Linked DNA regions of Canis lupus familiaris. The protein of the gene in region 4 purifies or fractionates together with the protein of the main gene of each other region. This does not show direct contact. Links are inferred from orthologs where the notes say so. Each region holds a gene or a part of one and is shown on either strand. Other genes may lie near its edges.

Region 1 (4,182 bases), on a different chromosome or scaffold from region 4:
AGTGTAAATCCTCAGTTCGCATCTTAACTGAGAAGGTCCTTGAGAGTGCTCACCTGATCTGAGCCCAAGTTTATTTAAACAGGAGCCATTAGTTGACTACTGGGTATGTTCCAGGCATCATGCTAAGTGCTTGACATGGCTGGTTATGCAGTCCTTACAATGACCCTGTGAGGCAGGCACAATCTTTATCCCCATTTTACAGATAAGGAAATGCAGGCATGGAGAGCCTCAGGATCCTGTAAAGCTGGGATATGAACCCACAGGACCTCATGGCCTGCATTTTTAAATTATTTAAATATTTGGAAGTATTCTAATATACAGCCTTCAAGATAAGCCATCAAGAGAAAATACCATGGAGCTGAAGCCAATAAAACCAGAAAACATGTGGACTGCTTACTTTGTACTGGGCATGATACAAACCCAATAAGAGCTTGTTATATACATTTCTTTTTTTTAAGAATTTATTTATCTATGGGACGCCTGGGTGGCTCAGTGGTTGGGCATCTGCCTTTGGCTCAGGTTGTGATCCGGGGATCTGAAATTGAGTCATCACGCTCCCTGCGAGGAGCCTGCTTCTCCCTCTGCCTGTGTCTCTGTCTCTTTCTCTGTGTCTCTCATGAATAAATAAATACATCTTTAAAAAAAAAAGATTTTATTTATTTATTTAAGAGAGAGAGAGTGAGCACAAGCAACGAGAGGGGCAGAGGGAAATGGAGAAGCAGACATCCCACTGAGCAGGGAGCTGGACGTGGGGCTCGATCCCAGGACCATAACCTGAGCTGAAGGCAGACACTTAACCGACTAAGCCACCCAGGCACCCCTTGTCACACATTTCTACATTTAACATCTATAATGTCTCCTTGAGGTAGGCACCATTATTATCTCCATTTTATTTATTTATTTTTTTACACTTGATCTTAGCCAAAAGGATTAGAAGCAATATTTATTCATTTATTTAAAAAGAACTAGTATTATGTATTTGAGAAAGAGAGAGCGAGCACTTGCGCGGGCATGTGTGTGGGCAAACAGGGGAGAGGGAGAGGGAGAATGTCAAGCAGGCTCCCTGCTGAGTGCAGAGCCCAATGTGAGGCTCAATCCCATGACCCTGAGATCACGACCTGCAATGAAATCAAGAGTCAGATGCTCAACCAACTGCACCATCATGTGCCCCACCTCCATTTTATAGACAGGAAAACCACTAAGCAGTCCAAGTGACTTGCCCACGGCCACACTAGTGGTGATTGGCGCAGTTATGATTTGTTCCCGCATCTGCCAAATGGTTGTGGGCACTCGTTTGGAGTCAGACCGAGGTCCTGGTCCTGACATTGCTACTGACCAACTGTGAGCCCTGTGAATGTTATTTAACCTCTAGAAGCCTCCATGTCTTCACCTTAGAATGGGACAACTAAGACCGACCCGGTGGATCATTTTGAAGATCACAAAAGATGAAGGCGCGTAGAATGCTCAGCATGTGCCCGAGGTGGAGTAAGAGTTTAAGAAATGTAAACCACCAAGCGGGCTGCGTGCTGTTTGCCACAAAGGCAAACGCTCAACCGTTCCTGAAAGCCAACCAGAGCTTGGACTGGGGCTTCTCTCGCTTGCCAAGTGCATTCCAACCTAGATGTCCAACTCCTTCTAGCGACCCGTACCGCGTCTGCATTGGCCCTCAGCCACGAGGAGCGTAGGTGGGGGTGCGCACCCTCCGACAGGTGCCCTGAGGAAGGGTGACCTAGGATCACTGTCAAAGACAAGGAGCGCGCTGTCGGCTCTCACCTGTTGTACATATCGGCCATCATCTCCACCTCCAGCTCGGCAGCCAGCTGCTGGGCCCTGAGCGGATCCATCTCAGCGCTGCGCCGTGGGAAAGATCTCCTGGCCTCCTAGTCCTGGGAGCGGACATCACCGTCAGCTTCGAGCCCTCCCGTTCCGTTTCCCATCCCAGGGGGACGTAGAGGATGCGGAACAATCATAGGACACCGGGCGGGCAGGGGTCACTGACCTCAGTGGGCTCAACTATCCCATCTCACAGATATGGAAACTGAGGCCCGGAAGGGGAACACAGCACGTCAATGGAGGGGCTGGAAATCGAGCCCTGGCGCCCCAGCCCCTCGTGGCCACTCTACCCAGGAAAAGATCTCGGGACCGGAAAGGAACACTGAACCGCGGGGCCTGAACCTCCAGGGCCCTGGGAATTCGATCACACGCGGTGCTAAAGGTCCACGGGTCCCGGCCCAGGGGCTGCACCTCTGACGTGGCGGCGAGGTGCATCGGGGTCACCTTGAAGCGAGCGGTCACTTACCACGGCCTGGGGCCAGTCACTGTGCCCGCGGTGTCCTCAACTTCGCGCAAACGCTAGACAGCCGCCGCACGCCCAGGTAGGCTAAGGCGGAAGCACGTGGGTCACTTCCGGGAGGGAAGTCCCGCCTCCCCTTTGATCGGACTCGCTTCCGGAGTGAAGCCCCTACGAGGCGGCGCGGGGAAATCGGCTACCATAGAGAGGAGCCGCCGGCCGTGCCCGAAGGCGACTTGCAAGGGCTAGAGGGGACGCCAAAATACCATAGAGGCTTGGGCGCAGTGCAGAGCGCCTGCAGCCTGGCGGTGCCGTCCCCAGGGTTTCGGCGGAGAGGTCACAGTGCGACTGTCTGTAGGCGGGCGCCGGAGGGCGGGGCTCCGCGAAGCTTGGCCGCAGCCCCCGAGGCTCGACGGCGGGTCACAGACCCCGGCGCGGCGCGGAGAAGGAAGGACGCCCTCCAAGGCCGTAGTGTCTGTGCTGCTCGTTACGGTCGCCCGGGCCGCTCCCAGTGCCCCGATGCCCATGCCTCGCTTCATACCAAGCAAATCAGAACCTCTGGGAGCAGGACGCAGACTTCAGTAAATGTTTCAGTTGACCTCGGGCGGTTTCTTGGTGCAGCCGAGGTTGCGAGCCAGAGCTCCCCGGACGGAGGGAGCGCAGCGGCCCGCAGGTGCTAAGCTGTCTCCGGGCTCGCAGGAGGACGAGCCGGGTCCGCGCAACTTCCAGACGCCCCGGCCCAGAGAGATGAACAAGAGCAACGTTGGCTGCCGCCGGGGCTAACCTAGTGCATCAGAGCGAGGAGGAGGAAGGGGCTGTGAGCTGCTCTCTCCAGACCCCGTGCGTGCGTTGCTCCATCTGAACCCCTACACCACAGAAACCCGCCCCCAATCCTTTTGTTTCTCAAGGGATTTCCCAGTAAACAAAGTGTACAAGATGCAAAGCGTCCGCTGCCCATTGGAGGAGGTGGGCCGGACGCTGTATGGCTGGTCACTGTATGCTTCCCTCACTGCCCAAGAAAGTCAGGATCCTAAATTCAGCCCTCATGTCTCCTCCAAGGACTCCTCTTTCGCAAACCCGGTGCCCCAATCCTTGAAAATTAAGCTAGAGGTGCCTGGGTGGCTCGGTCGGTTCAGGGTCATGAGACAGAGCCCTGCCCTGGCCCCCAGCTCAGTGCAGAATGGGCTTGAGATTCTCGCCCTCTCCCTCCTCTGCCTCTCCCCACGTGCACATTTGAGCGCGTGCGTTCTCTCTCAAATAGATAAAATCTTTTTTAAAATTAAGGTATAGAAAAAAAAAGTAAGGTATAGGTCTGCCCCAGTGGCTCAGCGGTTTAGCGGCGCCTTCAGCCCAGGGTGTGATCCTGGAGACCTCGGATGGAGTCCCACATAGGGCTCCCTGCATGGAGCCTTTCTCTCTGTGTGTCTCTCATGAATAAATAAATAAAATATTAAAAAAATAATAAAATAGGGGCGCCTGGGTGGCCCAGTGGTTGAGCATCTGCCTTTGGCTCAGGGCCTGATCCCAGATTCCGGGATGGAGTCCCGCATCAGGCTCCTTGCATGGACCCTGCCTTTCCTCTTTCTGCCCCCCTCTCTCTGTGTCTCTCATGAATAAATAAATAAAATCTTTAAAAATAAAAAAGTTAAAAACTAAAAATAAATAAAATAAATATTTCTCAATTCATAGACACACACTTTAAAAAAAATTTAAGGTATAACAGGGGCCCCTAGCTGGCTCAGTCAGTAGAGTATTCAACTCTTGATTCCAAACCTCCCCCCACCCCCCACCCAGCCATCCTCCTGAATTTGAGCCCCACCTTGGGTGTAGAGGTTACTTAAAAAAAATTTTTTTTCAATAAAATTAAGGTATGACATCTATACAGGAAAATG
Region 2 (3,946 bases), on a different chromosome or scaffold from region 4:
AGCATTACTATCCATGATAATGACCAAAGAAAGCAGGCGCCTCCTTACCTTTCCCCGTCACATAATAGGCCCCCAGTTTGTAGCAGCTATCGCTGTGTTTGTTCTCTTCACAGTTGAACTTCAGCACCTTGGCAGCCTCCTCAAAATTCTTCTGGATCCCTTCCAAATAGTCCACCAGGCGATAGCATCCTGTGAGGAAAAAGCAAGAGCTGCTCTTCATGTCTGGTGCTGCTGCACAGCAGTGGGGAGGGCTGAGGTGTGGCAGGCCAGAGTGTGTCTTTCATTTAGGACCAGCCTCTGTTCTCCTGAGGTGTGGCAAGGTGATCTCACCACAAAGAATGCAAGTGGTGTCCAGCTATTCCTACAAATGGTGTCATCTGCCCTCAGCCAGGGACTGAACCACATACAAGCTGGAGTGACCACGGCTGCTCTATTGGCTCTGCCACTCACCAGCCACTGTGGTGGAGCCCTTCTGTTCCCTGTCACCCAAGGCCAAAGACTCAGACTTCCATGATTGAAACTTTGCTGCCTTTGGTTGGGGCTTCCCAGGAAGTTCAGCAATAAAACACTGGAAACCAAAATGGTCTATGGGCTAGTCCCTGTTGTAGCAAGAAAGGGGTGCTATACTCCTCAGCCAGGCTGAGAATGAGAAGTCCAAAGACAGACTAGGAATAGAAGCTACTAAAAGAGTTAGAAACAGACTCTCTTTGGCAGTCTCTAGTCCCAGTGAGCCTCCTCCCAATATCTCTCCCCTCTGTCTCTGTTCCTTCTTCTTCATCTCAAATAATACTCATCTCATTCACTTTCATTCAACAAATGTTTGAGCATCTATGTGCAACTGCGTACCTTACACTGTTGTAGATGCTAGGAATAGTCACTTGCTTTCCTAAAAATTACATTCTACAGGAGGGGGAAGAAATAAGTAAATAGGTGAGCAAGATAGATTTATTTTTTTAAGACGCATTTCAACAGTAATAAACGTTATATGATTGAAATAAACAGGATAAGATAGTTTGTTGTGCACGCTGGGGGAATAATTACCATAAACTGGGCAATCAAGGAGGGCCTAAGGACCATGTGTAAGTTTAAATGTGAATAACAAGAATGAACTAGCTATTTAAAGATAATGAAATGGAAGGGGGCAGAAAGTCTCAGGCACAAGAAACAATAAATTAAAAGGCCTCAAAGAGGGAATAAACTTAGTACAAATACGGAATAATGTGGATGGAGATGGAAACGGGTAGGAAATGAGAGAGGGACGCTGGGGTGGCTCCGTGGTTGAGCTTCTGCCTTCAGTTCAGGGTGTGATCCTGGGGTTCTAGGATCGAGTCCCGCATTGGGCTCCCTGCGTGGAGCCTGCTTCTTCCTCTGCCTTTCTTTCTTCCTCTGCCTGTGCCTCTCTCTCTGTCTCTCAGGTATAAATAAATAAAATATTAAAAAAAAAAAAAAAAAAGGAAATGAGGAGAGAAAGGCAGGGACCAGGGCATTGTGGAACACAGGAAGGACTTAGGATTTTATTGCAGGTCAAAGGCAAACCACTGGAGGGTTTTAAGAAGAGCAGTGATATGATTCAATTTGCATTTTAAAAGGTCATTCCAGCGTATGTTTGTATATGTCAGGATGAAAATGGAACAAAATGCTGGAGGGGGTACACTCTGCACTGACAACAACAAACGGGCTGTCTTGTCATTTAAACATCGAATAAGATAGCATTTAATAGGACAGATGAAAATGTAACTATCAGTTTGAGGGTAGAGAACAGATTTTTAGGGAGTGAGCATGCAAACAGTCGGGTTAGGCAGCTATCTCAGTAATTCTGGGGAGCGTCAGGAAGGCTTCAAAGGATAGCAGCTACAGGAACTGCAGCCTCCCGAACGCGCTGCAGCCCTCCTCCCCGCGGCCCTACTCAGCGCACTCTCCTGCGGGCGGCACCACGTGGCTCAGCGGGTTAGCGCCGCCTGCAGCCCAGGGCTGACCCTGGAGACCCGGGATCGAGTCCCACGTCGGGCTCCCTGCGTGGAGCCTGCTTCTCCCTCTGCCTGTGTCTCTGCCTCTCTCTCTCTCTCTGGGTCTCATGAATAAATAAATAAAATCTTAAAAAAAAAAAAAAAACACCTAAGGCTCTCCACTGCCTACACAATGAAATCTAAGTGCCTTACCTGATACACTGCAGCCCGGGTTCCCTCTTCAACCTTCTTTCTAACGGCAGCCTTCGGCAGCACCTGGAAGGCAGCCATCTCCTCTCCCGCCCTGGCCTCCACTCAGCCGACCTCGTCTGCGCCCCCGGCCCCCGCTCCCCGCCCTCGCCCACAAGTCCTTCCCCGCTGTCCTGCTCCTAGGGACTCCCACTCTTCCCAGGACCGAGCCACCCTGGCTCAGCCATCGCACTGCACAACAACCCTGGTCAGTCTGTCAGCATCAAGAAATAGCTACATCCTAATCTAGAAAACAGGCTGCAGGCTATCAGAAGGGAAGGCCAGTGCCATGTTTTCCCCGTATAAAAATGAAGTAGGAAGGAGAAAACCAGCTAAAGGTACTGGCCGCTCTGGGCGGCCTCTATGGGCGTCCCAGCCACCGACACACGCAAGTCCCTCCCCACGTGTCCGCAGCCCGCGCCGGCGGCACTCACCGTCGGGGTCCTTCTCGCGGTAGCACTGGTAGTTGCACTCCACCTCCATGTTCTCCAGGAAGGACTTCACCTGCTCCTCGTCCTGGAAGTCCACCACGCCCGCCATGGCCCCTGCGCGCCGGCCGAGCTCAGCCCGCCGCTCCGCACGCCCGCCGCGCGGTCACGTGAGCAGCGGGGCGGGGCGGGGCCGGGGCGGGGGCGGGGCCGGGGCGGGGCGGGGGCGGGGCCGGGGCGGGGGCGGGGCGTGCCGCCGAGTGCGCGGGCGGCTCAGCCAATCCCGAAGCGGGAGCGCGGCAGACCTAACGTGGAAGACCTTCGGCCGCCGCCTCTCTTGCTACTCTCCCTCCTTCCCTCAAACCGGCGACAGCCTTCCTGCAGGACTACTTCTGCGCCACCTTTGCGCCCTTAATGATTTTCTGTCTGCAGTCATTTATTTCTTCATTCATTCCTTTGTTGGATGATCTCTGTGCCTGCTGGGTGCCTCACCGTCCCTGGTCCCAGTAACACAACAGCCAGGAAGTAGTACCTGCCTTTAAAGAGCTTGCGGTTTGGTAGGAAGACATTTGTTTATTCATTCAGCAAGCATTCTGAGCAACTACTCTGGGCCAGGTGTGGTTGCAGAAACCAATATTTGTAAGTCTGTTCTAGTGCAATGAAATGAGAAGTCTGGTTCATCTGTGCGTTCCTCTCAGGTCTACCCCCCCATCCTCCCGTCCCCAACCTGAACGACCTAAGAAAGGAATGGCTGTGGGGAGATGATGACCGCAGCACGGCAGCTGCAGAGGTTGTAATGATTCTGTTACAATAGCAAACGCTTAAACCGTGTTGAACTTTGTTCCAGATTCTATTCTAAGATACAAAGTCCAATTCAATTCTCACTATGACCCTCATTGTGACACTACTGAGTAGGGATTCTTATTATCTTCCTTTTAAAAAAGATTATTTATTTATTCATTCATGTGAGACAGAGAGAGAGAGAGGCAGAGACCCAGGCAGAGGCAGAAGCAGACTCCATGCAGGGACCCCGACGCAGGACTCGATCCCGGGACTCCAGGATCGCGCCCTGGGCCAAAGGCGGGTGCTAAACCACTGAGCCACCCAGGGATCCCCGAGGATAGACAGATCTTAATAAGAATTCATGTCCCCCTGCACCCCAATGTTTATAGCAGCAATGACCACAATAGCCAAACTGTGGAAGGAGCCTCGGTGTCCATCGAAAGATGAATGGATAAAGAAGATGTGGTTTATGTATACAATGGAATATTACTCAGCCATTAGAAACGACAAATACCCACCATTTGCTTAGACGTGGATGGA
Region 3 (3,479 bases), on a different chromosome or scaffold from region 4:
TCCTGGAGTTCCAGGATTGAGTCCCACATCGGGCTCCCTGCACTGAGCCTGCTTCTTCCTCTACCTATGTCTCTTCTTTTCTGTCTCTCATGAATAAATAAAATCTTAAAAAAAAGAAAGAAAGAAAGAAAGAAAGAACCTTGAAGCTGGGGCACAGGCCTGTCTGGAGGATGGGTGAAAAAGAGGGCATCCTTCTGGGCCAGACCTCGTGCTGGGTAATAGGGAACAGCACGGACTGGGAGCTATGGGCAGAATACCTCCAGGGCAGTAGGTTAAGTGCAGTTGGGGACCAGAGGCCAGCAGCCCTGGTGGGGAGAAAGGGTGGGGGACAAGGTCTCGGGAGATGCTCAAGGATACCTTCAACTCTTTTCAAAAGCACAGGGAAAGCCAGTCCAGGCTTCCCTCATCCAAGGATGAACCATACCCAGCTGGGCAGGGGCTCATATTCATTCATTCCGGAGGTGTCCAGCAGTTCTGCACTCCAGGCACAGGCCACAGGGCATCTTTACAAACCTAAGCTTTATTGACAGTCACATGCCACCAGGACAAGCTCTGAGGTGCAGGGCCCCTGCCCTTTGCCCACTTCCCTGGCTGGGGCAGCAAGGTGAGGCCACTCTCATGGTGTGGAGACAAGGGAGCAGGGCCTTTCTGGCAGCACCGGGATGGGGGGTGGTGGCGACCTCAGGCCCTGAACAGAACTGACCCAGAGCCTGCACTCCCCAAGTCCTGCATGAGTACAAGGCCGGGACGTGCCCAGAGGTTTCCTTGTCACCTGGGGCAGGTGGAGCTTGGCAACAGCCTCTTGGTACCTGAGACACTGAAAGGGGGCAGCTGGTGCCAAAAAGAGTAAAGACGCTGAGGATAGTCGGAGGCCCAGCCACTGCCGGGCACAGTAGAGGCAGGCCCCTCCCCAGAACGGCCCCATCAGCTGTCCTTAGCTCCGCTGCTCTTCTGCTCTGAGGCTGTGGCCTTGGTCAAGTTCCCAGCTTCCCTCTTCAGGACACTAAGCAGAGTCTGCGAGCTCTCCAGGATCTGGAAACAGACGTAGGATGGTCACCACCACTCCTCGCCAGCACTGAGCTGTGGGGCAGCAGTGCAATGAAGCCCCTGAAGGGCAGGTCAGACAGGGTCAGCAGGGCCCGTTCCCCCTAAGACTAGCCCAAAGCCCCTTCCTCGCACCCCAGGGAAGCCAGTCTAGGTTAGCTGAGCCCGGGGCCGCTCTTTGCTCATGGTCTGGGAGGACAATGGTGCAGAAAACAGGACTCCTGACCTGCCAGGCCCCCGACAGCCTCACTGACACCTAACCGGGATCCTGTCGCCCCTGCGTTTGGCCGGCCCTAGACTCCCCCGGGGCCCCAGCCCCACCTTGAGGTAGGCGGCTTCTGTCTCCGCGATGGTCCGGTCAAACTCGTTTCTAGAGGCAATCTTGCGGGCCAGGTTCTCGTTGACGCGAGCCAGTTTCTCGGTCAGCTGCCTCACTTCATTCTGCAGCCGCTGCTTCTCGTCTTCCTCCTGCTGGATCTGCCGGCACAACTCCTCCCGCTTCTGGCACAACTCCTCGATGCCTGGGATGGGCGAGCGGGAGGGCACACGCTGTGGACCCAGGGCAGGAGGGAGCACAGCACCCCTCCCACTCTGGAGCGTGCCCGGTGCACTGGACGGTGCGCACCCCTCGCACCCTGGACCGTGCGGGGGGCGGGAGGCGGTGCACGCTCTCCCCTTCCGCTCTGTCCCTCACTGCGCAGATACCCGGCGCCCGGGCGAGCGGCACAGCGGCTGTCCCCCTGGCTCGCCCGCAAGGCCCCCGGCGCCGTCCCGGCCGAGGCCCCACGCACGGACGGTGCAGCCCGTTGGGCCACGCGCGGCAGGCCCGCCACCGCCTGGACCCGCAGGCCGGCGAGCCCCGCGCCCTCCCAGCCCACCAGGCGGACCCCGCCGCGAGGCCGCTCACACTTGACCAGTTCGTTGTTATAATTCTGCAGCGCTGCGCCCTGCTGGGTCATGGTGACCGCCCAGGCCGCGACCACCCCAACCGCCGCTACTGCATCGCCGCTCCCGCCTGCGCGGTGCGTCCGACGGCGCGCCCTCCGAAACGTCACCGCTGCGCGCCGCTCGTGTGCGTCATCGCCGCGCGCCGCACCCGGAGCTCGGGGGACCTGGAGGGGGCCGCGCAGATGGCGGCGGCGGGGCGCGACGGCGACCCCGGGCCCGCACAGGAGCTGTTGCTGGCCTGGAACACCGTGAGCACCGGGCTAGTGCCGCCGGCCGCGCTCGGACTGGTGAGGCCCCGGGAGAGGGCAGCGGGCCCGCGCGGGGTCCCTGGGACGTCCGCCGGGTGGGCGTTGTGCTCCCGGACAGCTCCTACCTGGCGTCGGCCGCAGCCTCCCCTCCGCTGCGTCCCTTCCCCACTGCTCCCCGTCCGTCCCCGCGCTTTCCGCGTCCCTCCGCGTTCCCTTCTCACGGTTTTCTGCACCGCAGGCGTCCTCCCGCACCAGCGGTGCGGTGCCGCCGAAGGAGGAGGAGCTCCGGGCGGCGGTGGAGGTGTTGAGGGGCCACGGCTTGCACTCGGTGCTGGAGGAGTGGTTTGTGGAGGTGCTGCAGAACGACCTGCAGGCCCACATCTCGCTCGAGTTCTGGAATACCATCTCCCAGCGTGAGAACTGTGCGGACGAGCCCCAGTGCCTTCTGCTGCTCCTTGACGCCTTCGGCCTGCTGGAGAGTCGCCTGGACCCCTACCTGCGTAGCCTGGAGCTGCTGGAGAAGTGGACTCGCCTGGGCTTGCTGATGGGCGCAGGCGCTCAGGGGCTTCGGGAGAAAGTCCATACCACCTTGCGGGGCGTCCTGTTCTTTTCCACTCCCAGAATGTTTCAGGAGATGATTCAGCGCCTCTACGGGCGGTTTTTGAGAGTCTACATGCAGAGTAAGAGGAAGGGGGAAGGGGGCACAGACCCGGAACTAGAGGGGGAGTTGGACAGCAGGTACGCCCGCCGGCGGTACTACAGACTTCTGCAGAGCCCCCTGTGTGCGGGGTGTGGCAGTGACAAACAGCAATGCTGGTGCCGCCAGGCCCTGGAGCAGTTTCACCAGCTCAGCCAGGTCCTGTGAGTACTTGTGGCTGTGGCCATTTCCCTGTTCTTCTTGACTCTAGATTACTTTCCTGGGTCCAGCGGCCTCTTCAGAAAGCTGGTGAGCTGGCTCTGGGGAGGGGGGCATCTCTGCCCTGACAGTCCTGGACATTACAAAGGGACAGTCCCCAGGGTCCCTGTGCTGTGAATTTATACTCTTTGTCCTGGATAAAAAGAACAAGTATCTCTGCCACTCACGCTAATCTCAGGTTTCACACTGCGTGCACACCAAGACCCTATGTGATTCCAGATTTCCGGTCACATACAAGTCTGCTGTGTCTTCTGTAGGCTCTCCAGGGAAGGGAAGATAGTTATCCTCTCCTATAATTGCAAAAAAAAAAAAAAGAGAGATTT
Region 4 (4,168 bases):
CAGTGCCCAGAACATGGTGGGTAATCAAAATGTGTTGAACAAATAAATGTAGAACGGAGAAACCAAACTGAAGACCTCAGCAAAGAACAGGAAGACAGAATCATTACTACCATTCAGTAGATTACAGCAAAACAACCTTGGATGGGTGGTCTCATTGCTCCCAGAAAGGGGAACGGAATACACGGAATCTTTACATGTCAAAATCTTCAGCAGATCCAACCCGGAAAGAGTGCCCATCTCTTCCCCAATGCTAAGAAGCAGATCATGTCATCTGTGCTCACCAGCACCTGCTCAGAGGCTGGCACATCACCGGGGCTCAATAAATGTTTGCTGAGGAACTGGAGAAAGCAGACAGCAATAGAGAAGAGGAAACAAAAAGAAGGACTGGTGTAGCACTGATACTGAAAAGTGTGGGTGGTCTCAGGCCAGGGAGAAAGGAAGAGTCCACACTATGGAACACCTTGGAAGCCAAAGCTTTTAACCCGAAAGCTGGAGGGTGGGGGGTGGGGACCCTTGAAGTAAATTTGCACAGGCAAGTGACTGATTCAGAACTCAGAATGAAGAGCCAGCCGTGGGAATAGCTGAAGGACAGAGGTATCAGGCAAAGTACAACCAAGATGCAAGTGTGGCTCAGCAATGATGGGGTAGTTAGAAATCAGGCTGGAGAGGCACCTGGGTGGTTCAGGTGGTTAAGGTTCTGCCTTGGCTCACGTCATGATCTCGGGGTCCTGGGATGGAGCCCATGCATTGGGCTTCCTGCTTAGTGGGGAATCTGCCGCTCCCTCTCCATCTGCCGTTCCCCCTGCTTGTGCTCTCTCCCCCTCTCAAATAAATAAATAAAATCTTAAAAGAAATCAATCAATCAACCAACCAGTCAGGCTGGAGCCATATAAGGTAGGGGCTTTCAATTCTCATCCCCAAATTAGAGACAGATCTTTGACCCAGAAAAAGATAAAGATCCATGCTTTGGTGGCAGATGGAAACTACCTTTCCTTCCCAAAAAAACCTGACTCCTAGATATCCTTACAGGCAAGGAGAGGTCTTACTCATCTGCATAGCCTCATTATATCTAAAAAGCTCAAAATTATTTGCTAAATGAAGTAAATCAGAAACCCAGAGGAAAAAAAAAAAGAAAGAAAGAAAAAAGAAAAGAAACCCAGAGAAAGAAAATTTTAAAAAAAGAGGTCTACTAACAAAGTGGTGAGGGCAGAGAACTTTTGTTCATGGCACCACTATTTATCACTAAAAATAGTACTCAGGAGAGACATCAGTGAGTATTAGAAAAATATAGTATTATGGCTTTATGACCCCAGAAAGGAGTGGGTCCAAAAGCAGAATGAGGTACTGGGGAAAAAGCTTGACATTTTAGACTGAGCTGTTCTAACAGGATGTATGAAAGACCTTGGGTAGGTCATCTCCTCTGGTCTTCAGATCCCTGAAACAAACTAAGGGAACCAGACTGACTATTCACCAAAGAATTTCTGGGTGAGTTCCAACTCTCTGTGTAGCTTTACTTTCTCATGTGTCCACCATTCCTATCAACAGGCACAGCCAAGATGCCCGTGAGTGATCTGCTAAATGAATGAAGACCAACTTCTCATCTTACAAGACTGGAAACTGGGGCCTGGTTAGATGGCAGCTCAGGGACAGAAAGCTAGTTAGTGGCAGTGTGTGGGGAGGCCCTGGGACTCCTGGGTTCTTCAGCAGAGGTAGGAACAGATGAAGGAAACCGGAGAGAGGTGGGAGGAGATGGGCACTTTGCTGGAGAAGTGGAGGTGGTGGTGGAGGTGATAGAGGTGGTGGGAATGTTTGCTGGAGGTGGAGGTGGAGGTGGTAGAGGTGGAGGTGGTGGTGGAGATGGTGGAGGTGGTGGAGGTGGTGGTGGAGGAGGAGGTGGAGGAGGTGGTGGAGGTGGTAGTGGAGGAGGTGGAGGAGGAGGAGGAGGAGGTGGAGGTGGAGGTGGTGGAGGTGGAGGTGGTGGAGGTGGAGGTGGAGGTGGTGGAGGTGGAGGTGGTGGAGGTGGAGGTGGTGCTGTTCCAGCTGAGAGCTCCTGGAATCCAAGGGGCACCAGACTGGGCGGTGATCAGGACTGCGGCAGCTCGAACCCCAGCTCCAGGGCCGACGGGGTCCGGTGCCTCAGGCGTAGTAGGCGCTCGGTAGATGCACCCGTGGGTGGCACGTTGAGCACTCCTGTACAGCGCGTGCGGAGGAAAACGCGCGACGTGTGGTCAAAAGCGGTAGTAAAAACAATAAATCCCCAATTACAAGCCAGAGAAAGCGGGCTGAGCACTTCCCGTGCCCCCCCCAGTTTACAAGGCTCCCACGTGCCGATCCTACGGAGGTCCGGGTTCGAGGCTCAGAGTGACCTTGGACCAGCCTCATTCCTCCCGGTCTCCGTCCTCTCATTTGCAAGGCGGAGGTGGCGGCCCCACCGCCAGGCCCTCCCAAGGGTCCCGAAGAGGGGGCCCCGGGCCGCGCCTGCAGCCGCCCGCGCCCGCAATGGGGTCGCGGGACGCCGGGGCCTGCACGGCCGCGGGGGGGCAGCCCCGCATGTCCCCTGCAGGCCCTCGTAGGCCGGTCTCCATGGCAGCCCGACCTCCCTACCTTCCTGCCGGCAGTAGGCCATGGCTGCAGCCCCGGGGCTCAGACCTGGCGGCGGTAGCGGTGGTGGCGGCACAGGCGGCAGCGGGCTCACGCGGTGACCTCTTCTTAGGCAGGGCGGGCGGCGCCGAGGCCCACGCGGACCCGCCCCCTCCAGGCCTGCCCGCCGCGCGCCTGCCTCCGCGCCCTCCCAGCCCCAGCCCGGCCCCTCTCAGCCGGGAACTACATTCCCCAGGGATCCGCGCGCGGCTCGGGGCGCTGAGGCAGTAGGAACTACATATCCCTTCATGACTTGCGGTGCGCAGGCGCATCAGTGAGGTCCGCGGCGCGTTGCAGCGTGGTGGCTACGGCGCCTGCCCCGGAACTACATATTCCAGGAGGCCTTGCGGCGCGCTGGAGCGGGAGGGCGGTGGCTCGCGGGCCGGTGACTGCTGCGCGTCCTCCCTGATTCTGGGGTTCACGCGAATTCTCGCAGCTCCGGAGCAGGCGGGAGGCCGCCGGGCTCTGCCCGCAGGCGGCCAGCCCCTCCCGTAGCCGAGCAGAGCGAGGGCGAGCGCCCGGCCGGGTCGCAGGATGGCCGCGAACGTGAGTGTCTCCCGGTCCGCCGGACCCCGCAGGCTTCCCCGCTCCTCGTAGCGGCCGCCGGGGTCCGGCTTGGCGGCCTGGCGCCCTCTGCGGGGCCTTGTCCGGCCGTCCGGGCCGCGCGTTTGCGGGGCGGGGGTCTCAGGAGACGCGGTGGGTGCGCGTCGGGGTCTGTGCCAGGGCCCCTCCCGCAGCCCCTGCGTCGCTCTGGGTTCCCGCCTGGGCCCTTGCGCTCCTCCTGCAGGGGCTGCGGGGGCCGGCGCGACCTCCGAGGAGCCAGGGAAGCCGGGACCGCCCGGGCGGGCCCCATCTGCGGACGGACGGACTGCGGTGTGCGGGCGGCGGTGGGATGCCGCGGGAGGGTGCGGGCGGGAGTGCGCGGAGGACCGGGAGCAGGCGGACCCGCGGCCCGGCCCTTGTGCCCTCGGTGTGTTTGGCTGGAGGGGCCCTGGCCGAAGGTGGTTCCCTGCAGAGGCCTCCTGCCGTGTCTCCCCGCAGCCAGCCTGCCTCGGGGACTTCGCGATGTACGCCCAGCATTCATTCAACAAACCGAGCAGCGCCTCCCACCAGGGTGCTGGGTGTGGGAAGGCTGGTGACTCACCACTCCCCTCCTCTGTGCAAGTGCTTCTGGAGCCAGCCCTGGTGCCCTGCCAGCCCCAGGACACTCCCTCCCTCCTGCTTTGCTGGAGTGGCCTAGCCACTGTCCCCTGGCCTGTTACACCCTCTTTCCAGCCTCTCTAATGTCCCCGAGGGTCCTCCCTGCCCTCCACGCCCCTGGAGAGGCAGGGTTTGTATCACCCACAGCCCTAGGACGCTCCACCTCAGCCAGAGTTGTCTGGGAGACCTAGAAGTCGTGAATGCTGCGCCTAGGAAAGCCTCAGGGGTGGCCCAAGACCCAGGGGCTGCCAGGGGAGAGGACAGTCAGGAGACCAGCCTGCCCCCAGAGGTAGACCCCTGTCTGCCCTCATACAATATTTTACAGATT
Region 5 (4,193 bases), on a different chromosome or scaffold from region 4:
CCGCATCAGGCTCCCCACCAGGAGCCTGCCTCTCCCTCTGCCTGTGTCTCTGCCTCTCTCTCTGTATCTCTCATGAATAAATAAATTAAGATCTTAAAAAAAAAAAAAAAAAAGCTGGCAGATAAGGCAAAAAACAATCGCTTTTCTTACCTGGAGTTTCTTGTATTCTCTGGATAGTTTTCTTCGGGACTGCTTGGCTTAAAATAGTTTGTGTAGATGGTTCATCCTCTAAAGAACAGACATTACATATGTCAAAATTCAAAACAGATTGACATTTGGGTCCAGATTATGCACCCTAACAGCAATATATAAACAGAAAGGCAAGTAATTCTTTAGAAATGTGTAATTAGGTCCACCAAAACTACTACTCTTAAAAATATAAACTATTCACCTTTGATGCTTTATAATAAAACCATATTAATTTAGAAATTTAAAAGATGGTCCAGAGTTTCAGAAACGTCGAAGAAAGCAGAAGTGTGCAAAATGTTTAAGATCCTTATAGATTTATTAAAACAGAAGTAAATCCTTTATGTATTAAAAAAGTCAGCTTCTATAACTGCAGGAGGATCTGTGCCAGAGTCAATACAATGTAACCTATTTGTTGCCTATCGTCGGCAAAGCGCTCTTCAGATACTGAAGGAGATGGAATTAACTTCAAATAGGATGGGATCCTTGTCCTCAGTAAGTTTCTAATTCTAAAAGAGAGATAGAACATACACATAGGCTAAAATGTCTGGAGTAAGCTCCACCCCATATTAAGTTAACATTTTCTTTAAAATAAAGTTTTCAAAATCAAGGCATCTTCAGATGTGTCAGTGCTGCATGGGTCAGCAGATACGAGCGTTGCCTACAGCTCTGCTGCGAGCTGAAGGTCCACTTCCTTCTTCCTATCTATCCATGGTCTACCACTAAGGATGCAATCACTTTGTGATTCAAACCCCCTGGATTTTTACCTCATTGGTGCCTTACGTGGGCCTCCCACGAAACTACACCCGTGATTCAGATAGGGGACAGGGAAGTGGGCGGGAGAGGATGGCTCAAGGGAGTTGCTTCACCTGTGCCTCACCTAATCCACACGCTCACTTTGCCAACATCCTTTCGGCCCATTTAGAGGAAAACTAACTCAGAATCTTCCTTGGTCAAGCTAAGTAACCCATGAGGTTGCATCGAAGCCCGCCCCCCCCCCCCCGCAAAAAAAAAAAAAAAAAACAAACACGTGGCGATTTTTTGCAGAGACCACCCTGCTTGAGAAAGAGCGATCAGCTCAAGTTTATCAGGCATTAGGGATCTTCAAGTTCAGGATAACTCGCCTTACCCCCACCTCGGTAGAAGTATTCGGGTGGGGTCTCAAGTCCATTTAAAAAACGGCGCGCTCCCTCCAAACGCCCACTCACCCAATTTCTCCCTCCTCCTCCCCCGACCTCGGTAGCGATGGAGAAAAGCCTGGGAGGCTACCCGAGAAGCATCACTCTCAGCTGGGGACTCGTGGCCTCTGAGAGTTAGAGGAAATGGAAGTGGCTTTGGTAGCAACATCCGCAGAACGGAGGGAACCGAAGTGAAAGCGAGCCTGGAGTGTCTCCCTGCCCGCTGGCCCCCCGAGCCGCCGTCACCCCCCTGCCCCCCGCCAAGGCCTGCAGAGAGAGGCGAGCCGGAGCCCCCTCCTCCCCCGCAGGCCGGTGCCCGGCGAGGCGCGGAGCTCGCCGCTCAGGTCGCGCCCCCGAGCCTCTGCAGCCCTCCCGCCTGCGTCCCCGCCCCGCCTGCGGGCGGTCGGGCGGTCGGTCGGTCGGTCGGGGGGCCCCCGCGCCGCGAGCCCCGGGAGCCCCGGCGGGATGAGCTGCGCGGCGAGGGGCTGCGAGGGGCTGCGCCGGGACGCACGCGCACACGCCCCGCCCCCGCCCGCGCGCTGCGCTCGCCCCCCGGCTCGCCGCGGACACTGCTCCCTCCGGCGGCCTCACTCACCGTCAGACGGATGAAAGTCCCGTAACCCTCTCCTGGTCGTCACCGGAGACGGTGACTGCTGCTGCTGCTGCTGCTGCTGCTGCTCCTGCAGGCGGGTCGCCCTTCGCGTGTTCATCTCCTCGGCTCCTTGGAGTCGCGGCTGCCTCCGCTGCCGAGACCGAAGGTAGTAGGCGCTTCCTCGCACTTCCCCTTTCGCAGACTCAGGCCGGAACTCTTCTAGCGAGAGCCGTCTTCTCCCCGGGGACTTTTCCTTGGCCACCGGGGGCTCGAAGTCGCCGTACACTTCTGGCGGCTCTTCCGAGAACCTCACTTCCCGCCGGCCGTGGCGCGACGGCGAAGGAGTCCCGTACGCAGGCGCGTCACTGCCGCCGCCATTTTGAGGGGCGAGCCGGCGCCTTCCCTCCCGTAGGGGGGCGCGGGGTGTGACGTACATCCGCCAGCCTTCCCTCCCCGGCTCCGCCCGCCGCCCGTCGCCCGCCATAGTTGTTGACGTAGCTTGAGGCGATCGCGAAGGTGGTTTGCGGAGCGGGGGGGCGCGTCGGTCGGTTCTCCTGGCGTTGGTGGCGATGGCTGTTGCGAGGGTGTGGTTGCGGCGGTCAGGGAGGCAGTTGAGAGGCGCCGGGGCCGCCGCCTGCGTCGTCGCTGCCGTGCTGCGAAGCCGCCTCTGGGCCCATGGCTTGTCCTGAGGGCTGTGGGAGAGGCAGTGCCGATGCCGGGTCAGCTGCTGCGGGTCACTCCCGCCTCCTGGCTGAAGGCACCAAAGAGGAGGAGAAGCGGGAGGACGACGTCGCTGTCCTTGGCCTGGGGGGAGGGGACAGCCGGCAGCGCGGATTGCCTCCCCGGCCCCAGCGGCTCCGGCCGCCGCTGCCCGCACGCGGGAGGCGCGGGTGCTGCCCGCCGCCCCCGAGCCCCCCGGGAAGGCCCGCCGAGCGAGAGTCGGGTGCCCAGCTTGGAGTCCTCGCCGCCCCGGAGTCGTTCTGATTTGACCGCTGCCTTAGCCCTGCCTTTCCAAGTGTTTCTATAGGAGTCTTCATGAAGATAACTTCTGCCAATGCTGCCTTTTCCTGGGGGGAGGCGGGTGGGGGGGGGGGGTGGAAAGAAATTGTGGGATTTAATTCTTCTCGGAGAAACTGCTGCGACGATCGGTACACTGAGTGATGCCTGGCCTTTCTTTAACGATTTCTTTTATAAGGTGCCTGTTACTGTGGCTCACTCTTAAACATCATAAAAGCCTCATAATGTCATCATTAAAGGATGTGAACCTTTGTAGTGCCGATGTGCAAAGTGCACGTTATGAACGTTATTAGCGCATGTTAAGGGATCTCTTTAAAACATTAACCGGTGCAGTTTTGTGTGTGTGTGTGTGTGTGTGTGTGTGTGTGTGTGTAGAAGCTGGGCTACAAACTTGCGGAACTCCGGTTTTTGGGGACATCTTTAAAAAGAAAGGACAAGCGGTTCTACTACGTGTTGCTGAGCAGAGAAGATGATGTTCGTATTATTGTGAATAGTCCGTTCACTGCGTTACACAGGATTCTTGTAAAGGCTCAGGAAGGAAACTTACGGGTTTGGCTTTCCCAAGAAACAAATGAGGAATCTCGAAATCAGAGGCACGATGACTTTAACACCTACATATTGCTTAGGGTTTTCCCCCTCTTTAGGTAATAAGAATGCATAATTCTAGCGCTGCCGTTCCTGCCTCCCACACCTAGCAACGTTACAAATACCAGCCCTGATCACTTTAACTTTGAGGTAAAGCTAAACTCTTGTCAAACCAGATTTTCTGCTGTAGATGTTTTCTAAACTCTAAGGGTGGCCCCAAAGACGTGACGTTAGAGGCAGTGGATTCGTAGCCAATAGCGTAAGAGGCTTGCAGGTCATCAGTACCGGGAAGAGGCATGAGCTCTGGATGTTAGACAATTAGTTTGGGAATTTGAAAAATACAGAGGAATTAAGTGGATCACAAGACAGGTAAGAGAATCCAGTACCTATACCTATGTTGGCACAGAATAGGTGTTCGATAGATGTATACATTAAGTTAATATGTATTCTTTACTCTTAGGGAATTTGCCTTTTATTAGGGAAAGACCTATACAAAAAAATCAGATTAAATGGCTGGCATCAATTTATATACTTAGCTGTTGTGCCTAGGTCTAGAAATCCAGTGTTGGTGACACTGGATTTTTTTTTTTTTTTCCGATTTTATTTATTCATAGAGCCACACAGAGAGAGAGAGG
Region 6 (4,204 bases), on a different chromosome or scaffold from region 4:
ACACACAGAGAGAGGCAGAGACACAGGCAGAGGGAGAAGCAGGCTCCCTGAAAGGAGCCCGATGCGGGACTTGATCCCAGGACCCTGGGATCACGCCCTGGACCAAAGGGAGGCGCTCAACCACTGAGCCCCCCAGGCGTCCCTCCCGGAAGTCATCTTGCCATTCCTTGCCATTACTCCAAATCCTCCACGACTTTCCTGCCACAGAAGGTAGGTATTAAAACAAAGTCCTTGTGGGGCACTTGAAGACTATGTACCATCTGACCTCCCACTCACCCCTGACCCTCCTTAGCTCCAGCACTCGGCTTCCTTGCTGTTCCTGGGACTTCCCAGGTTGCCTCTGCACTTGGGACCTTGCCCTCCTCCTATGGAGCAGAACTTGGGACAAATGGAAGCCATTGCCTGGAGCAGCAAGGGCAAGCCCTGTCCACCACGGCAAGTTTGACACAAAACACACCGAAGCCACGCCCTTGGCCACTCCTCCATTATTTTATTTTGGTTTCAAGCTCTGAGATTGGTTCCACAAAGCCTCTTGACAGGCCTGGTACAGGTATGTGCTGGATGGGAGGCGGGCAGCAGCGTTGGTGGACTGTCAGAGAAGCAGCCTGCCTGTGCTTTCCTTGTAGACATTGAGCAGGGAGGAGAGCTCAACCCCCAGACCTCTTTTCTGAACTGCAAACAGCACACAGCCTGTAGAGTTACAGTCACTGCAGCCGGCCCTTGCTACACGGTCATGGCTGGGAGACAATGGTCTACCTCAAGGAGCAGGACAGGGAGCCCTAGCAGGCCTGTCACATTCCTGTGTAGGGAAGCGGGCACCAGGGTGTGGGGTGAGCAGGACACCACATCCCAAACGTAAGGCACAGCCTGGGCTGCTCCCTCTCGTTCACCTACAGCCGCACGGGGCCTTGGCTGAGGAAGGGCCGTCGAGGTGTCTGCAGCAGGCACCTCTGCTCTGACTACAAACCTAAGAGGAAAGGGCCCCATGAGCAGTCTCTGGGGACGATCCAACTGAGACACAACAGGCTCTGGCTCTGATGCACTTTAATGAGTGCCCCATCCCCCTCTGGCCAGGCTGCCCGCAGGCCCGGACTGCTGTTCCACAGCTCTGCCGGCCACTATCTAGTCACAGGAGCCATCCTTCCAGCCATCGCGCCAGCGCTCGTCCACTTGTGAGCAGTCGAAGTCCGGCTTGCCTAGTTTGCGGTTCACTTCATTGTGCAGGCGGCACAGCCACTGGGTCAAGCAGGCCCGAGTGCGCGTGTCCGGCTGGTTCCTGCATATCCTGTGTGAGGGAAGCATGTGACGATGGGGACAGGCAGTGGCCCCACTGCCCCTACCCCATCAGTTCCTTGCCTGCTGGATCCAGGGAGGAGAGCTTGGGTATTGCTGCCAGCTACACCCATGAGCCCTCTCATGCTCTGAGAGGTAGGCATGCCCGGAACAGGCCTGATCCTGCTCTGTCCACCACTGGCCCACTCCTAGGCCTGCTCAACCCCTTATCTATGGAGCTCAGTAAACCCAAGACATTAAGGCACTCGTCATGCAACTTTACAACCTCATGCAACTTTACAACCTCGTAACAATCAGGAAGCCTCACCCCAGCATCCCTGGCCCCGGGCAGTGTGTGAAAGGGGTGGCGCCAGCACAAAGGCATAACTGGAAACCAGACCTGTTGCTAGCACCTGGGGCCCTTGGGCCTCAGCCTAGCAAGAGACCTGTTCTAACTGCCCAGGTTCAAATGGCAAGGGCTGCCCCAGGCCCCGCATCCAGGCCAGAAACACCTGTGGGTGCCAAATAACAGCTCTTGCGCTCCCCAGTGAAGGAAAGGTGGCTGCTGGGAGCAAAAGCAGTGGGTTCTCAAGCCTTACATGCAGCAGTCCTGCTATAGAAGTCAGGCAAAGTGGACTCATCCACCTGCCCGTGCCCCTAGGAGTTCCAAGCAGGGACCTCTGTACGTGAAGCCCCACCAGGAGCCTTCTGGCTGCGACAGCAGCAGTGCCCAGCAGCAGCCCTCAGCAGCAGCCCCAGGCAGCTGGGCCTCTGAGGGGAAAGGAGACGGCTTAGCTGGCCCCTGCTCTGGGCAAGCCGCGGCCACCGCTGCCCCTTTATGACATCAGCAGGGGCCCCAGGCTCCAGGTGGGACAGCTCCGCCGCCGACAGGCAAGGTAGACACACTCACCTCTTCCGGATGTCTTCAGCACACTCCTCGCACGGGTAAAACTTGGAAAATAAATGTATGAACTGGGTCATGTCTCGCTGCTGTTCTGGGGTGGGCAGATCGGGGTAGTAGGCGGCCAGGGTGTGCAGGACAGCCCAGCTGTGGCGGCCCAGTTCCTCGCGATCCTCAGGACAATCCTCCCTGAACTTGCCGTCCCGCTGCGGGCGGAGGCCGACCAAGGGTCAGGGCAGGTCGTGTCCGGGGCCCGACGCCCACGCGGCTCCCCCGCCGCGCCCCGCCCCGCCCGGGCGCGACCCCGCGCGCGAACGGCTGAAAGGCTGCAGGCCGGGCTCCCCAGGGGCATCTGACCTTCTGCTGCGTCCGCATCCACGTCTTGAAGTCCACGCAGGCCCGGCAGGGCCGCCTCCGGGAAGGGTCCTCGGCGACCTGGGGCTCGGGGGTCGGCGCGGGGGCCGAGGCTGCGGCGGACGCATCTCTCCGCCCCGCGCCCCGGCCGCGCGCGTCCGTCACCAGGTCGTCCATCACCTCCGAGCGCGCGCCGCCGGGCAGGAAGGAGAAAAGGCTCCCGCCGCCGGAGCGGCTCCGCTCGCCGGGCGCCGCCATGTTGCCCGCGCAAGGCCTGCCGGGCCAGCTGGGCCTCCAGAGGGGCCTCCAAGTCGGCCTCCAGGCCAGCGCGCGCGCCGCCGCCAGGGCGCGGCCACAGGAGCCGGGCAAGGGCGCAGGCGCAGGCGCGGAGGCCGGGCTGGAGCTGGGAGCGGGGCCGGGGGCGGGGCCGGCTGCCGGCGGGGGGGCGGGGCCGGGTCCGGGGCTTGCGGAGCGCGCCGGAGAGGCGGCCGAGCCTGAGGCCGGGGTGCGGGTGGGCGCGGGCGCGGGGCTGGCGACCCGGGTCCTGGCCGGGCTCCCGGGCTTCGGTCCCCGTCCCGAGCCCGGCTTGCGTCGTCCGTGGCGGCGCTCCCGCTTCCTCCAGTAGAAGAGTAGCGTGTTGTGGAAGCCGCGCCGCGGCCGCGCCGTGGACTCCGGCTGCGGCCGGGGCGAAGTCCGTGTTGCGGCCCGGGACGCCCCCATCGCTCCGCTCCGACCGCCCCGCGTGCCCGCGGCCAGGCTCTGTGCCCTCGGCGGGGCGCGCCCTGCGGTCGGCAGACGGGCGCCTCGGCAACGCGGAGCGGCGCGGTGAGCGCACAGAGCGCGGCGCGCCGGGGCCTGGGTCCCCCGGGTCGGCCCGGGCAACGGGCGCCATGGCAACGGGCGCCGGGGCTGCGGGGCGGGGCGGGGCCTGCACAGCCGGCGGCGCGGGCCTGGGGCTCCCGGGGCTGCCTGGGGGCGCTGTCCACGTCCCCGTCGGGAGCGGCCTCAGCCTCCGCGCGCTCGTGCGTCACCTGCACCTGTCTGTGCGGCGTCTGCTCTGTTCCAAGTCCTGGCCCGGGCGCTGGGCAGGGCGGGGCCCGAGATCCGTCCCTGACCCCCGGCTCACTGTCCAGTGGTCAGCGGTGAGAGTCGGGGCGCCCGGGGGGCTCAGCGGTTGAGCACGTGCCTTTGGCTCAGGGCGTGACCCTGGAGACCCAGGACTGAGTCCCGCATCGGGCTCCCCGCAGGGAGCCTGGTTCTCCCTCAGCCTGTGTCTCTGCCTCTCTCTGTGTGTCTCATGAATGAATAAATAAAATAAAATCTTAAAAAAAGAAAAAAAAAAAGAAACAAGGGAGTCACAGTAACACGTCCACTGACAAGCTCTGGTGGGGACCACGAACAGGGAGTGGCTAATCCCGGAGGCCTCCTTGAGGAGTGACACTTAGGCAGAGGCCTGAAAGATGAGGACTCAGTGGAGGAAGGCCGTCAAGGCCAAGGCTGGAGGTGGGCATGGGCAGAAGCCAGTGGCACAGGACCTGGGGAAGGTGGTGGGAGGAGAGATCTAAAGGTGGGCGGGAGCACATGCAGGGCCTTGTCGCTGCCATGGGAGCTGGGAATTGAGCAGATTTCATAGGAGCTAGTGAGGAGCTCGGGCGGGGAAGGGGGAGGGCAGGTATC

The links.
Region 1: the proteins of CHCHD4 (region 4) and TIMM10 purify together in Homo sapiens (co-immunoprecipitation; 4 studies listed by BioGRID and IntAct, with this or other methods). This does not show direct contact. The link is inferred for Canis lupus familiaris from reciprocal best matches to the Homo sapiens genes CHCHD4 and TIMM10.
Region 2: the proteins of CHCHD4 (region 4) and COA7 purify together in Homo sapiens (co-immunoprecipitation; 3 studies listed by BioGRID and IntAct, with this or other methods). This does not show direct contact. The link is inferred for Canis lupus familiaris from reciprocal best matches to the Homo sapiens genes CHCHD4 and COA7.
Region 3: the proteins of CHCHD4 (region 4) and SSNA1 purify together in Homo sapiens (co-immunoprecipitation; 3 studies listed by BioGRID and IntAct, with this or other methods). This does not show direct contact. The link is inferred for Canis lupus familiaris from reciprocal best matches to the Homo sapiens genes CHCHD4 and SSNA1.
Region 5: the proteins of CHCHD4 (region 4) and TOR1AIP1 purify together in Homo sapiens (co-immunoprecipitation; 3 studies listed by BioGRID and IntAct, with this or other methods). This does not show direct contact. The link is inferred for Canis lupus familiaris from reciprocal best matches to the Homo sapiens genes CHCHD4 and TOR1AIP1.
Region 6: the proteins of CHCHD4 (region 4) and GFER purify together in Homo sapiens (co-immunoprecipitation; 3 studies listed by BioGRID and IntAct, with this or other methods). This does not show direct contact. The link is inferred for Canis lupus familiaris from reciprocal best matches to the Homo sapiens genes CHCHD4 and GFER.

What each region holds. Positions count from the first base shown.
Region 1 is NC_049239.1:39,105,536-39,109,717, reverse strand, and holds the start of TIMM10 (mitochondrial import inner membrane translocase subunit Tim10), read right to left. Parts: upstream 2,801-4,182; 5' UTR 2,300-2,800; intron 1,887-2,299; 5' UTR 1,845-1,886; coding exon 1,774-1,844; intron 1-1,773.
Region 2 is NC_049236.1:8,747,056-8,751,001, reverse strand, and holds the start of COA7 (cytochrome c oxidase assembly factor 7), read right to left. Parts: upstream 2,801-3,946; 5' UTR 2,736-2,800; coding exon 2,630-2,735; intron 190-2,629; coding exon 49-189; intron 1-48. UniProt on the Homo sapiens protein: Required for assembly of mitochondrial respiratory chain complex I and complex IV.
Region 3 is NC_049230.1:48,461,680-48,465,158, forward strand, and holds SSNA1 (Sjoegren syndrome nuclear autoantigen 1), read right to left. Parts: upstream 2,112-3,479; 5' UTR 2,004-2,111; coding exon 1,952-2,003; intron 1,566-1,951; coding exon 1,366-1,565; intron 1,033-1,365; coding exon 925-1,032; 3' UTR 501-924; downstream 1-500. Other genes in the region: ANAPC2 (anaphase-promoting complex subunit 2), read left to right, coding at 2,175-2,279, 2,479-3,101. UniProt on the Homo sapiens protein: Microtubule-binding protein which stabilizes dynamic microtubules by slowing growth and shrinkage at both plus and minus ends and serves as a sensor of microtubule damage, protecting microtubules from the microtubule-severing enzyme SPAST.
Region 4 is NC_049241.1:4,306,388-4,310,555, forward strand, and holds the start of CHCHD4 (mitochondrial intermembrane space import and assembly protein 40), read right to left. Parts: upstream 2,801-4,168; 5' UTR 2,627-2,800; coding exon 2,605-2,626; intron 1-2,604. Other genes in the region: TMEM43 (transmembrane protein 43), read left to right, coding at 3,175-3,186.
Region 5 is NC_049228.1:13,320,737-13,324,929, reverse strand, and holds the start of TOR1AIP1 (torsin-1A-interacting protein 1), read right to left. Parts: upstream 2,801-4,193; 5' UTR 2,441-2,800; coding exon 1,960-2,440; exon of another isoform or gene 1,958-1,959; intron 229-1,957; coding exon 151-228; intron 1-150. UniProt on the Homo sapiens protein: Required for nuclear membrane integrity. Induces TOR1A and TOR1B ATPase activity and is required for their location on the nuclear membrane. Binds to A- and B-type lamins. Possible role in membrane attachment and assembly of the nuclear lamina.
Region 6 is NC_049227.1:39,393,445-39,397,648, forward strand, and holds GFER (FAD-linked sulfhydryl oxidase ALR), read right to left. Parts: upstream 2,801-4,204; 5' UTR 2,786-2,800; coding exon 2,531-2,785; intron 2,380-2,530; coding exon 2,183-2,379; intron 1,286-2,182; coding exon 1,123-1,285; 3' UTR 471-1,122; downstream 1-470. Other genes in the region: NOXO1 (NADPH oxidase organizer 1), read left to right, coding at 3,988-4,030.